Linked DNA regions of Oryctolagus cuniculus. The protein of the gene in region 2 interacts with the protein of the main gene of each other region in a biochemical or structural test. Links are inferred from orthologs where the notes say so. Each region holds a gene or a part of one and is shown on either strand. Other genes may lie near its edges.

Region 1 (3,565 bases), on a different chromosome or scaffold from region 2:
GCCTGCCTTATCTGCTACTTTAAAAACAGGGAAGGCTGCCTTCAGTAATCCTGGTCCAAAGTGCTCGGCCCTTCCCAGGTGAAGTAGCCATGTAGATGTGGTGCTTGTAAACGTTCCTATTCCCAGGCCCAAGGCCAGTCAAAGTCCCTGAGGGATTCTCACTCAGGTACAGTAATGTTTGGGGCCACGGCTTGCCCTGCCACTGTTGCACACAATTTGCTCAGGCTCTTGAGCCTATTTCCTCCTACACAAGATACAGAACCCACCCTGCAGTTCTCTGAGGATGAAGGTAATGTACACACAGTGTCCTACTCAAGGCCTGGACAAGAGAAGTACCGAGGACACATTTGCTGAGTGAACAAGTGGGTGACGGATGGCTAATGAAGAGAACATTCAGCTAATAGAATGTTCCAGTTTGTTACAGCTGTTCTAAACAGCCTTGGCAACCACAGTCAACACAACCAAAGCTTTCCTGTGAGAAGGAAATGTATTCTCATAAAGTTTCAGGGAACTGAAAACACAAAAGCAGCTTTAAAGGAGGTGAGATGGGAGACCTGGGTCACCCTGGTTGAACAGAAACTCTGCGGTGTCTTCTATGTGCTGGGCAGTGTTACCACTTAGGGAATTCAGTAAGGCACAGCAAGTGTGGCAGGCCTCGGATGCCCTCATCCCATAACAGAGTCCTGAGTTGGAGTGTCAGCTCTGCTTTGGAGTCCAGCTTTCTGTTAATGCATACCCCGGGAGGCAGCAGGTGATGACTCAAGGACTTGGGCCCCTGTCACCCAGGTGGGAGACTCGCACTGAGTTCCCAGCTTCTGCTTTGAGCTTGGCCTATCCCCAGCTGTTGTAGGCTTTTGGCAAATGTGCTTGGAAGATTCAATCTCTCTCTCTCTCTGCCTTTCAAATAAATACATTAAAAATTAAAAAAAAAAAAGAACAGCAGGCAGTGTTGGTCCTAAAAGCTAGCAATATTCTCAATTCATCTTGTCTTGGGTACCTTACATTTCCTTTATGAAACAACAAGAACATGAGTATTGTTATCACTGCAGTGTCACTGCCCCAGCTGTTGGGAATCCATTCTGGGCATGTGGATTTGCTGGAGTGTATAAAAGATCTGCTTCTGGAATATTCCTCTTGATGTGCGTGTGAAAATGGTGACTTTTCCATCAACGGATCTAGTCACTTTATATCATGTTTCACGCACATTTAGGAAGTCACTCAATTTGAGGTTTCACTCTCAAAGTTTTACTGGCATGTTTTATGAGCAGCCTTGTGGTTTTGAACAGGTGAACATTATTTTTGAAGCCCTGTTTTCTTGAAATGTTAATTAGTAGAACAGTTATAAAGGCGGGCATGTGCTCGTGCATGTGTGTGTGTGATGACAGCGGTAAACCATAACTTACAGTAAATTGACTTTCAAAATGTGTACTTTGAAGGCTCCAGCAACAGATCACCTCTCAGAGCTGAAGGCAGGAACTTGCCCATCCCAGTGCCAAGCAAACCCCAGCCACCATCCCCTGGGGAAGAGGAGGTATGAAGCACATGTTTTAACTTTTGTTTTTCCCCCTGGCAAATGGACCACCACAACCTCCCATTGAGTACTCTTCCATACTTTTATCATGGACTAGTTTTATGTTCTTTTCTTGACAAAAAACATTTTAAGGGGAGGATTCAGATAAAAAATATGTTCTTTTTCTTGGTATTCTAGCACACACCTCCGGGGCAGATGTGTGTTTTGCATTAAACAATGTAAGACATAATTATATTTTTCGTCTGTTTTCTAGCTTATGACCTTGAAAAAGTCACTTACCTGCTCATTAACAGTTTTTTTCATTAAATAGGTTATTACTGTATATTAAACTGAAGAAACTGTTGTACTTTTATCTTTCCTGATCAAAGGCTCCAGAACATAAGCAACACTTATTCACAACTACCTTTTCAACCCATATCATGATAGAAAGCAGTTCACACACAATGTCTTCTATTTAGCCCTACCTTTGTGATTCTGCATTCAAATTGAGCAAACAAATGTTTCAAACCTCATGGAACTGAGGTGGTGATTTATGGAAATTGTTACTTGGAAGCTTCGCTTTTCCCTTACATATGTAACTGCAAAATTTATTCAGTTTTAAAATTTATATTTTCAGAATTCATTAAATGAAGAGTGGTATGTTTCTTACATTACCCGACCGGAGGCAGAAGCTGCTCTGAGAAAGATAAACCAGGTATTGTGCTAGAGTTTATTTTTAAGTAGTTATAAATATTAATAGAAAGAGAAGGGAACTGACTTGTGTTGAGCACCAGTTATGGTCTAGGAATTCTGCCTGGCGCTCTTCCTATGAGACCCATTCGTGCTAGCTCATATCTACCAGCATCCGTAGGAAGATTCCTAGAACTGGGAACCATTTGGATAGCAGAAAAATCTCAATTAAGGCAATCATTTGGTTGGTAGAATCTTAGAAGATTGTATTAATGAAAAGTATTTGTCTTACTGGAGGAATCGTTTGTGTCAAAAGGGTACTCCCTTTCTCTCAAATTTCTAATATCTTATCAATTCTATCTTCCTCTTCATGTGGAGCTGCCAACTCTCAAGGCAAAAGGGCCCATACTGAAAGAGATAGCAACTTTTTGCCCTTTCTCCTAGAAATTTCTGCCTAGAATTTAATAATCTAATGTGTTAAACAGATTCCCTTGTGGCCCAGTGCTGGACCTTAAAATGAAGTCTATCAGAGAGGAAAAGGAAAGTGCCTTCATTTTTCACTTCTGACTTTCTACAACAGGGTGGTGTTTGGCCTAGCACCAAACAGGAGTACCCGGGTTTGATTCTTGGTCTGGCTCCTGATTCCAGCTTCCTGGTAATGCAGACCCTGCAAAGTAGTGGTGATGGCTCAAGGGATTGGATTTTTGCCACTGGATTGAATTCCTTGCTCCTGGCTTTGGCCTGACCCAGTACTGGCCATTGCTGGCATGGGTGGAGAGAAGCAGCAGATTGGGGGTAACCCCCCTCTCTCTCCCTCTTAAATAAAATATTTTTTAAATTAAATTCTAGAACATTCTTTCTCAGCCTTATCTGCATATTTGAATCACCTGAGCGTTTAAAAAAAAATCCTGATTCCTGGGTCTCAAGTGGAAAGGTCTTATTTTAATGAGTTGGGGGTACCGTGGGGGCTTCAGAATTCCCCAGGCGATTCTAATTCCAAGCTCTAGGCTGAGGCTGAGACATGCTTGTTGAGCAGAAACATTCCGACTGGCCTAATGAACCTGGAATGAGAAGAGCAGAAGGGCACTGCTGTGGGCGGATGGCTATTTACAGCCTCCACGACTTAGTACACAGCAGAGGAAGTGGTCTGAGTCCTCACCGACTGCTTTAATGTTAGATCTTTATAGGTTACTATTAGGTAGCAGTAATTCATAGAATGAAAACCGAAAGTACAGTCACAGCACTAGGAAATATCAGGGAAAAACAGTGGTGAGAGCGCAGATGGTCCACATTCATTTTTAGTCAGGTGGATGATGCACATGCAAGAATGTAAAGGAGATGAATTTCATAGGTATCTGCATGGTT
Region 2 (3,565 bases):
TGGAGGCGTCGCAAGCATGACTGTGGTGCACACAGGGACAGACCTGATTGTAGCTGTGCATGTGTGTACGCGTGTGTGTGTGTATGTGTGCGCGAGTGCACCAGCTGGCACCCTGTGGGTGACACGTGGACACTGTCGCACGTGCTTCCAGAGCCCACCTGCACATGGCTCTCCAGGCCCCCACAGATGTGACCAGCAGTGTGAGCAAGTGCACATGTGGACACACACACACACACACGAACATGTGTGCCCTCACTTGCCTGTGTGTGCTCTGGGCGGGTGCCCTTTGGCTGGGTCATGTGCTGTGTGGGTGCTGAGTTGCCTTGCCCGCCCTGCCCTGGCCCCTGTCCCCACCCTCTGCCCGGGACTGCACGGCTGTGTGTGTCCCTAGCGCGCCTAGCTTCCCCAGAGAAGCCGCGGCCGATGCCCATGGACACGAGCGTGTATGAGAGCCCCTACAGCGACCCTGAGGAGCTCAAGGACAAGAAGCTCTTCCTGAAGCGTGAGAACCTCCTTGTGGCTGACATTGAACTTGGCTGCGGCAACTTTGGCTCCGTGCGCCAGGGCGTCTACCGCATGCGCAAGTATGGCCGCCCCTGCAGCTGTGGGGGGGGCAGTGGGGGGGACAGTGGGTGCTGGGATGTCTGTCTGTCTCAGAGACAGACTCTCGGACAGGACACTGCTTGTTGGAGGCCTCCCCGAGACAGATTGGAGGCACTTGGGGAGCGGCAGATGGAGGTCTGGGCCAGGGAAGGGTTGGGCTGAGCTGCACAGCCCCTGCCTCCCCTGGCCCCTGCCTCTGCTGCTGCTGGTGGGATCCAGGTCACCCTGGGGAGGTTGTCACTGGCAGGGGTGGTTTTCAGTGAGGGCCCTGGCTATGAGTTGTCTTCTTGACCACTGGAGGAGTGAATGCCTTGGCCTCAGTCGGGGCGGTGAGCATCATGCGCGCAGGGGAGAAGAGAGGTGGGTGCGTGGGAACAGGGCTGGCTCAGCCCTGTGTGTCCTGCCTGGCTGTGCATCGTGGCAGGAAGCAGATCGATGTGGCCATCAAGGTGCTGAAGCACAGCACGGAGAAGGCGGACAAGGACGAGATGATGCGTGAGGCGCAGATCATGCACCAGCTGGACAACCCCTACATCGTGCGGCTCATCGGCGTGTGCCAGGCAGAGGCCCTCATGCTGGTCATGGAGATGGCAGGCGGAGGGCCCCTGCACAAGTTCCTGCTGGGGAAGAAGTGAGTTCCCCCCGGGGCAGGCCTGTGGGTCGGGGCTGTGGGCGAGGGTGTGTGGGGCTCATCCCGTGCAGCCCTGGGTGGGACGGCACTCACACTGCTGCTAGGGCTGTGCACACACCACACGCAGGTTCACACTTCGGGGACACCCACATGTGTCCACAAGGGGGAGCTGCCAGCTCCCTGTTCCCCCATTTGTATCACTGCAGCGATAACAGTACCTAACATCGGGACCTGACCAGCATCAACACTGCTAGGGAGGACTGCACCAGTGGCACCCAGCCTCTCGGGCCGGCTTCCTCACTGCTGGGAAAGTGCAGGGGTGGGGGTCTCTCACCTGGAGCAGCCTGCAGCCTGCAGCCTGCAGCTTGGTCTTGTGCTATAGGTTTTTTTTTTTTTGATTTATTTATTTGAGAGGCAGAGTTAGAGACAGAAGGAGAGACAGACAGAGAGGTCTTCCATCCATTGGTTCATTCCCCAAATGCCTGCAAAGGCCAGAGCTGGGCCAATCCGAAGCCCAGAGCCAGGAGCTCCTTCTGGGTCTCCCACACGGGTGCAGGGGCCCAGCAGAGAGCTGGATCGGAAGTGGAGCAGCCAGAACCCACAGGTGGAGGCTTTGCTATGATGCCACAGCGCCAGCTCCTATAGTTCATTTCTTAGAGGTTAAACACAAGAATACGGAAGAGAGCCCATAGATGGCATCTATAGGTGAAAATATTCACTCTCTGTCCCTTCACTGAAAGGCTGTAGCCTTTTCTTAGTGCCGCCTGGGGCTCCGGACTCCTGCCCTCATGGCCAGGCATCTCTGTGCTCCCTGGGGGACGCTGTGCCGCTCCACGCTCTCTGAAGTGCTCCACGCTCTCTGTGGCGCACCTGCCTTCATGGTGCGCCCTGCTCACAATCAGTCCTGGAGCGGGTATCTGTCGGGCAGTTGCTCTGTGGCAGGAGTAACTGGTGCCGACACCTGGGATCATCAGCAAATACAAGAGCAAAGATGCGTGCCCTGTTCCCTGGTTGGAGAAGTGAAGCAGTAAACAATCATGATAAAACAGAGCGGGGCACTGGAGAGAAGGGAGTAGGGCAGGCCAGGGGCACGGGCGTGCCGGGGTGGGAGCCCCAGGGAGAATGGGAGGTTTGGGCAGACTGGGGGGGGGCAGCTAAGCACAGATCCATGGGAGAACATTCCAAGCAGAGGGTACCACCTGTGCAAAGGCCCTGGGGTGGGCTCCAGTTCCCACTGTTGTGGGAACAGTGGAGACAGAGTGTGGGCAGGGAGATGATGCAAAGCCTTGTGGGCTACCAGGGGGACTTGGACTTTTGCCCTGAGTAAGGGGGGAGCTCTGGGAGGGGCAGGATCTGATGCAGCTGGGGACTGGACAAGATTGTGCGAGGCCTGGGCAGAGCTGACAGTTCTAGTCCAGGCGGTGCTGATGAGGGGCTGGTTAGGCTGTTGGAAGCAGTGGGAAGATTCCGGAGCACTTCTGACCACAGAGCTGCGGGGCTTGCTGTGAGTGAAAGGTGATGGAGGGCAGAGCGCCTGGGGAAGATGGGACGTGGCTGGGGGGGGCTCAGCCTTGGCTGCATTTGAGGAGCCTGAGGGACAAGCTTGGGGGGGTCACAGCATAGGGTGACACTTCAGCCTGGAGCCTTCTTCGCACTGTGACCCCAGCCCCAGGCCTGGCACACAGCTGGTGCTCCTCTGGCCTCTGATCTGATAGTCTGAGACGGGTGGGCTTGGTCCCAGGGGGCACTTGGGCTGTCTTCTCCCAGCTGCCCCCCCCGGCCCCACCCCAGGGAGGAGATCCCCGTGAGCAACGTGGCCGAGCTGCTGCACCAGGTGTCCATGGGGATGAAGTACCTGGAAGAGAAGAACTTTGTGCACCGTGACCTGGCGGCCCGCAACGTCCTGCTGGTCAACCGGCACTACGCCAAGATCAGCGACTTTGGTCTCTCCAAGGCACTGGGTGCCGACGACAGCTACTACACGGTGCGCCCCTGCCCTGCGATGCCCAGGCAGAGGCGGGTCGGGGGGCTGGAGGGTCCCTGAGCTCTGCCCAGCAGCATCTTCCCCTCCCCAGGCCCGCTCAGCAGGGAAGTGGCCGCTCAAGTGGTACGCGCCCGAGTGCATCAACTTCCGTAAGTTCTCTAGCCGCAGCGACGTCTGGAGCTACGGAGTCACCATGTGGGAGGCCTTCTCCTACGGCCAGAAGCCCTACAAGGCAGGCGTGGGCAGCGGCGGGCAGCAGGTGGCGGGCGGGGGAGGAGGCCTGGCCACGCACGCTGACCCCCGGCCCTGGCTCCGCAGAAGATGAAGGGCCCCGAGGTCTTGGACTT
Region 3 (4,345 bases), on a different chromosome or scaffold from region 2:
TGGGGAGTGAACCAGCGGATGGAAGACCTCTCTCTGTCTGTCTGTCTCTCTCTCTCTCTCTGTAACTCTGCCTCTCAAATAAATAAAGTGGCAGCCCTCAGCCAGCACGAGACGCTGAAGTCTCTGTGCTTTGCCTCAGTGGCTGTCACAGCCTGGCCTCAGCCCCACGGAGGCATTTGCAGGACAATGGGTGACAAGTGAATGAATGGATGGATGGATGGATGGGAAGCAGCACTGGGACAAACTGATGCAGCCCAGGACTTGGGATGGTGAGGGACGGCAGCTTGCAGGTGCGGGAGCCAGGGACCAGCACACGTAGCAGGCGAGAAAAGCCCCGGGGTGAAACCAAACTGAAGGGAGAAAGGCAGCTCCAAGGGGAGCAGAGGAAAAGGCGCCCCCTCCCCCAGCCATGTGTGCGCGCACACACACACACACACACACACCATCAGGTCCTCAGACCGACCAGATGGCGGTGGGCACTGGGCACAGCGGTGAAGACCCTGCGGGGGATGCCCACAACCTGTATTCCCAGCTCAGAGAGCCTGGGCTGGAGCCCCCTGCCCCTCCCCCTCCACTCCCAGTTCCGGCTTCCTGCTGCGGTGTACCCTGGGAGGCAGCCGTGGACGGCTCGAGCGGCTGGGTTTCTGCCGCGCACATGGCTGAGTTCCAGGTTCCAGGCTTCAGTTAGGCTGAGCCTTGGCTGTTGCCGGCATCTGAGCCACTGCCTCTCAAAATACATTTTTGCAAAATTTCTTTTTAATCTTTAGTTAAAAAAAAAAAACAGAAATGTACAAGATGCTATTGCCTCCATGAAACAAGAACAGGGGGCTACAAAAAAGGAACATGCAGAGACCCAGAAAGAACTGGATAGGAGGGGAAAACATATATACAGCACAAGGGCTGCGAATAAAGGCAAGGACATCTCCCAGACAATAAAGGAGAAATCAAGGCCAGGGCAGAAGTCCGGCACCTGCAGCAGGGGAGCCCTGGAGAGGGAGCACAGGGGAGCGGGGTCGCTAAAACCTTCACAGGGCAGGGGAGCATGCGGGGGGGGGGGGCCCGGCACCTCCTGACTCACTGGAGAAGGCACTGTCTCGGAGACCAGGGTTTCCGGGCGCAGGGGCGGAGGGGCCAGGGCCGCTGGTGGCCGGGCTGTCATCGGGAAGCACCTCCCTGAGAGTGAACCAATGGGGGAGGGGGTGAGGAAGCTCGCCCGGGGCCCCAGCACCCACCTGCCCACCTGCCCCCTTGCCACTCACAGGTAGCCCTCATTGTGAGAGTCCTCCTCATCCTCATCTTCATCCGCGTCCTCACAGGCCAGCTCTGCGGGCAACGACACGGGGTGGGGAGAGCTCAGCACAGCCCGAGACAGGCCCCCGCCTCCCCACCCGGCTGGGCCCCCCAACCCCGCCGCCCCCGGCAGCCCAAACGCACCCTCGTTCTCGTAGCTCGCCACGCTCTGGGCTTCAAGGAGAGAGCAAGAGGGAAACTGAGTCAGCTCAGGGTTGGGCTTCCTCGGATGGGTGAGTGGGTCCCCTCCACCCTGTGCCTGTCCCCCGCAATTCCCCACGGAGGGCTGGGCTGGGGGTGGGGGGTCTGGCTCGGCTCCAGCCCCCACCCGTGTCTCTTGCCAGTTTGTATATCCCTGTGAGTTTGATCAAACCGCCCTGTGAGTAGTTGGAGGCACCCCTGCCTTCCCGGCAGAGTGGGGGTGCCCTGCCACACTTACCGCCACCAGAGTCCCTCCGGGAAGACGGCATCCGGTGGGAATCCCCAGGGGGCTGCGGAGATCTCCTGGGAATCAAAGGTCAGAGGTCACACTCAATGCCAGGAGGGTTACAGCAGGGCGGGGCGGGGGGCACTGGAAAAACAAGGGAGTAGAGAGAGATTTGGAGGCGAAGGAGTTGGGGGGCTACTCACGGGATGGGGAGCAGGTCTGGCTGGCTCAGGGGTGGAACGGAGGTAACAGCCGGCCAGGGGGCAGGGGTATCTGAGGACACAGAGCTGAGCTGGGAAGAGTGACTTCCGACCCGCATCTCCCGCCTTCCTCGAAGCCCTGGTGCCCTGACCGCCCCCCACTCCCCATCCCAGCTCAAGCCAAGGCCATGTGGGCAACCTAGAACGAGGGGACACCCAACGGAGGGAGCCTCTCTCCCGGAGGCAGGGGCGCCTCCAACTACTCACAGGGCGGTTTGATCAAGATGCTCCTGGGATACAAACTGGCAAGAGAGACACAGGTGGGGGCTGGAGCCGAGCAAGACCCCCCACCCCCAGCCCAGCCCTCCATGGGGAATTGCGGGGGACAGGCACGGGGCGGAGGGGACCCACTCACCCATCCGAGGAAGAGGCACTGTTGTAGGAGTCTGGGGGAAGAGAGCGGTTGGTGAGGCAGGGGCCAGGGCTCGGGGCGGTGGCAGGCGGAGGCAGGCGAGGGAGGCCGGGGACTGTACAGCGACTCCAGCAGGTGCACCCCCGCCCTCAAGCCCCTGCTCACCTGACAGCCGGCGGCAGCGCACACACAGGGCCATTAGCAGCACAGCCAGGAGCGGCCCCAGCAGGAGGCCCAGCGCCGAGTGTCCAAGGACGTTCACCTCCATCTGCTGGGCAGAGCCTGGCCCAGGTCCTCAGGGAAGGGCGCAGCGGTGGGGGGTAGGGGGCAGCGGAGCCCTCTGTGGGGGCTGGGCTCTGTGCAAGCTCTGGGGGACCCTAGCCCCCTAGGTCAGGCCAGGGCCCGGGCTGGGGTCCAGGGCTCCAGCCACGCCATGCAAGCGTGAGACGGGTCCCTGCACCCCAGCGGTACCTGCCCTGGGCCAGACGCCCGCCTGGCCTCGCCTCGCCTCGGCGCCCGTCCTCGGCAGGAAGCTGTGGTGAGCACCGGGTGAAGGCAGGAAATCATCGGGCTCCCAGCCCGCTGCACCGCCCCTTCCCACCCCCACCCAGCCGGTGGGGAGGGGGAGGCCTCCCCGTCAGGGTTCTCACGAAGGGACACTTGCCCGTGGGACGAGGGGCAGCTCCTCCGTGGGAGTGAAGGCCTGTGGCAAGCCACCGGGGGTCGGGGTCGGCGGCAGGCATTCCGCCAGGCAGAGGGCAGCGCCCACCCCAGCTCGCCCAGGCTGGCCAGGGGTTGTGTGCGGAGGGGGGGGCGGGCTCCAGTAAGCCCGGCCGTGACTCAGGGTCACACGGAGCCAGCTCACTGGCACGGCGGTCCTCACTGCTGGGCGCTTAGCCCCACAGCACAGGGACTGGCCCGGTGGCCCCCCGGCAGCGCCCCCGCCGCCCCCAGGAGCCCTGGGGCTGGAGATGGCCAGCCAGAGGTCAGGGGTCACCAGCATCCAGACAAAAGACTCAGGTAGGCACTTGGGGTCTGGCTACAAAGTTTATTCGGTTACAAATAGCACCAACCCCCTGGGGCTGCTCCAGTGGAGGGGACCCCACCCCTCCCCACCCCAGACCCCCAACTCCTCCCCTAGGCTGCCCATGTAGTGTCTGGGAGCTGGACAGGGCCCAGGGTCCCTCCTGGAAGCTGGGCCGGGCTGAGGGCTTAGGCCCGGGCACCTCGTGGGACGGGCCCCAGGGCCCGCGGCGGCAGATGTGCGGACAGGTGAGGGACGGCCACTCAGATGAGCACACTGGACACGGGGACCCTGGTGGAGCGGCCACGCTGCGGCACCACGATGCGGTCATCTGCGGGCCCTGCCTCGGCCAGCAGACCTGTGGGGGGCGGGGTCAGAGCCAGGGCTGGAAGGTCAGCTGGAGCAGACCCGCAGAGCCACCACCAGGAGGAGGACACAGAGCCGCCAGCCCCAGCGCTGAGACAGCGGCCGGGAGCCAGGGCGGGGCCCGCACTGACCCTGCACGTGCAGCTGCGCCCGCCGGCGGTCACCCTCGATGAACATGGCGGTGCCCAGGAAGGCGGCCCCGCCCAGCGCCCCGACGAAGGCGCAGAGCATGAGCGAGAACTGCAGGGCCCGGAACTCGGACAGGAAAGATGGCGGCCAGCTGCGGCGGAGGCGGTCGGAGATCTGCGGGGGGCAGGGCGGAGCGTCGGGGGCGGCCGGGACAGCCATGGGAAAGGGGTGGGCCCTCAGGGACTCTGCCAAGACAAAGCCCTCCCCACCCAGGGGAGGCTATAGGGTGCCCAGCGCCTGCAGCCGCCCAGGTAGGCCACCGGCCAGTGCTGGGAGAACAGGACCCCCAAGCCCGGGGTGAGGCTCACCAGGCCGATGAGGTAGGGGCTCCCAGCGTCGCCCAGCAGGTGGGACAGCACGATCTGGAAGGCTTCGGCGGTGGAGCGTCGTGTGGGGATCACCACGTACTGGGGGAGGGGGGAGGGAGGGGCCTCAGT
Region 4 (2,366 bases), on a different chromosome or scaffold from region 2:
ACCCCCCATGACAGGTGAGCACGGTGGGGTGTGGGCCAGCTGTTGGGCCCCAGACCCAGATTGGGAATGCAGGTCTACTCTTCCCACGCCAGAGCTCGGGGAGGTTCAGGGAAAGAAATAACCTGTGTGCCCTGCTTCCTACTTCCTGCGATTCTTGGGTTTCCGGTGGCCATTAGGCCGCCTGCTGCAGGGCCAGCTCTTCCTCTCGCTTGCCTGTGGTGGGGCTGTATTTCAGGGCCTCCAAACTGCATTTCTTTCTCTGGCTGAATGAGCTTTTCTCTTCCCAGCCGCCACCTCATTACTAGCCTCGCCCTCTTTCTTGCCTATTTCTCTTTCATTTTCTGTGTTTTCCTATTTCTAGAAGCCACCAGGCTCGTGGATCTTGGAGGAAGGCTGTTTGTCCTGAGACCCCTTCCTTTCCCACTGTAGGCTTTAAGGAATGAGCAGTGGGCCAGTAGGGATGGTGTATTTGGAAGTTCAAGTCCTCCGGCACATGCCCTCCCCACTATTTCGTGCTTCCCCTTCCTCTCAGGAAATAGCCTGGTGGTCAAGGGCATGAGCTGTAAAGTCAAAGCTGAGTTTAAATCTTGCCTATAGCACCTTTTAGTTGGGAGATCTTGGATAAATCTTTTCACCTCTCACCTTAATTTTCCTCCTCTATAAAACTAGGGAGGGAAACCAGGAGGGTGAAATGACTGTACCTGGGAAACACCCAGCCTCAGGCCTGCGGACTGAAGGCTCGCTGTGTGTGTGATGTGCTGTGGGGTTCCCCTCGCCCTGCCCGGCTCTCCTGCGTACTCACACTCCTGTGCCTTCCTGTCCCTCCCAGAATGGCCGGCTTTGATGGATCAGCTTGGGATGAGGAGGAGGAAGAGCTACCCGACCATCAGTACTATAATGACTTCCCGGGGAAGGAACCCCCTTTGGGGGGCGTGGTGGACATGAGGCTCCGGGAAGGAGCTGCCCCAGGGACTGTTCGACCTGCTCCACCCAGTGCGCAGACCCCCAGCCACTTGGGAGCTACCCTGGTAAGTTGCTAGGATGGAGGTGGGCTGGGCCCAGGCTGGTTAGGACTGCTGGTCTCACCTTCCTTTATCCCTGCAGCCCGTAGGGCAGCCTGTGGGAGGAGACCCGGAAGTCCGCAAACAGATGCCACCTCAACCACCTTGCCCGGGTATGAAGGGAGGCAGAGAGAGAGGGAGCGAGTGAGCTGAGGAGGGAAGAGCCGGGGGTGCAGCAGGCAGGGCCAGGAGCACCACGGAGCATCCTTTTCCGCAGCAGGCAGAGAGCTCTTTGATGATCCCTCCTACGTCAACGTCCAAAACCTAGACAAGGCCCGGCAGGCAGGGGGAGGGGCTGGGCCCCCCAACGCGACCGCCAATGGCAGCGCACCCCGGGACCTCTTTGACATGAGTGAGTACTCCTCTCTCCTTTCTGCTTCGTCCCCGCCTTCCCACCTGGTTCCGTCTCTTCTGCCTTTCTGCTCTTTCATTCCTGGCCTCCCTTCCCTGAAGGTCTCCGTCCCGGGAGTGTGTTGTGCCAGCTGCTGCTCCTTGCTCTCTCTGTAACCCCCCAGAGCCCTTTGAAGATGCGCTTCGGGTACCTGCACCTCCCCAGTCGGTGTCCATGGCTGAGCAGCTCCAAAGGGAGCCCTGGTTCCATGGGAAGCTGAGCCGGCGGGAGGCTGAGGCGCTGCTGCAGCTCAACGGGGACTTCCTGGTGCGGGAGAGCACGACCACACCTGGCCAGTACGTGCTCACCGGCCTGCAGAGCGGGCAGCCCAAGCACCTGCTCCTGGTGGACCCCGAGGGTGTGGTGAGTGACAGAGGTGTGGACGTGGGTGGTCGGAAGTACCCTCTGGTGCAGTCGCAGCTGTCGGCCCCGCCCTCCAGCGCCCTCAGCGCTGTGCCTGAGCTGTGTTCATTACAGCCCTGGCCGGTACTCCAATCCCCAAACCTTAAGCCCCTCAGAGCCAGACGGTGCTCGTCTATTCTGTGTCCCTCCTTTGACAGATGAGGAAACCCCCGGGGAGAGGTTGTGATAGCCAGTGGTGAGGAGCCACACACGTGCAGGAGGAGCCGGGGGCCTCCCCAGGTCCCCAGACCAGTGTCCTTTCTCTTAACACTCAGTGTCTCACTGCTCCTCAAAACTTCCATTTCTCTTCTGTACAATTTCAGCCTCCTTCCCACTTTTTTTTTTTTTTTTTTTTTTTTGCACAGTGAGATACGCCAACCCTGTCCAAATCAAGAAAGGCTTCATGCTTTCTGGACTGAGGTCCCCTTGCCTTTCTGTAGTTCCTTCACCTGCCCACTCTCACAGCTGTCTCCAGCTTCTCTTTCCAGGGAAGCCTCAACCAGCCATCACCC

What was found.
Region 1: of the proteins of ZAP70 (region 2) and LCP2, one has a biochemical effect on the other in vitro, tested with the Homo sapiens proteins (2 studies listed by BioGRID). The link is inferred for Oryctolagus cuniculus from reciprocal best matches to the Homo sapiens genes ZAP70 and LCP2.
Region 3: of the proteins of ZAP70 (region 2) and LAT, one has a biochemical effect on the other in vitro, tested with the Homo sapiens proteins (2 studies listed by BioGRID). The link is inferred for Oryctolagus cuniculus from reciprocal best matches to the Homo sapiens genes ZAP70 and LAT.
Region 4: of the proteins of ZAP70 (region 2) and SHC1, one has a biochemical effect on the other in vitro, tested with the Homo sapiens proteins (2 studies listed by BioGRID, with this or other methods). The link is inferred for Oryctolagus cuniculus from reciprocal best matches to the Homo sapiens genes ZAP70 and SHC1.

What each region holds. Positions count from the first base shown.
Region 1 is NC_091437.1:57,138,673-57,142,237, reverse strand, and holds part of LCP2 (lymphocyte cytosolic protein 2), read left to right. Parts: intron 1-1,436; coding exon 1,437-1,531; intron 1,532-2,147; coding exon 2,148-2,225; intron 2,226-3,565. UniProt on the Homo sapiens protein: Adapter protein primarily involved in signaling pathways within T-cells, as well as other immune cells such as platelets, mast cells, and natural killer (NK) cells.
Region 2 is NC_091433.1:110,655,663-110,659,227, reverse strand, and holds part of ZAP70 (tyrosine-protein kinase ZAP-70), read left to right. Parts: intron 1-391; coding exon 392-584; intron 585-1,027; coding exon 1,028-1,234; intron 1,235-3,025; coding exon 3,026-3,218; intron 3,219-3,309; coding exon 3,310-3,450; intron 3,451-3,536; coding exon 3,537-3,565. UniProt on the Homo sapiens protein: Tyrosine kinase that plays an essential role in regulation of the adaptive immune response. Regulates motility, adhesion and cytokine expression of mature T-cells, as well as thymocyte development.
Region 3 is NC_091450.1:7,782,740-7,787,084, reverse strand, and holds the start of LAT (linker for activation of T-cells family member 1), read right to left. Parts: upstream 2,849-4,345; 5' UTR 2,598-2,848; coding exon 2,495-2,597; intron 2,364-2,494; coding exon 2,333-2,363; intron 2,220-2,332; coding exon 2,185-2,219; intron 1,991-2,184; coding exon 1,921-1,990; intron 1,795-1,920; coding exon 1,730-1,794; intron 1,465-1,729; coding exon 1,260-1,464; intron 1,174-1,259; coding exon 1,079-1,173; coding exon of another isoform or gene 1,067-1,078; intron 1-1,066. Other genes in the region: SPNS1 (protein spinster homolog 1), read right to left, coding at 3,617-3,711, 3,851-4,022, 4,217-4,315. UniProt on the Homo sapiens protein: Required for TCR (T-cell antigen receptor)- and pre-TCR-mediated signaling, both in mature T-cells and during their development.
Region 4 is NC_091438.1:43,543,353-43,545,718, forward strand, and holds part of SHC1 (SHC-transforming protein 1), read left to right. Parts: coding exon 1-14; intron 15-829; coding exon 830-1,028; intron 1,029-1,104; coding exon 1,105-1,174; intron 1,175-1,278; coding exon 1,279-1,413; intron 1,414-1,576; coding exon 1,577-1,815; intron 1,816-2,366. UniProt on the Homo sapiens protein: Signaling adapter that couples activated growth factor receptors to signaling pathways. Participates in a signaling cascade initiated by activated KIT and KITLG/SCF.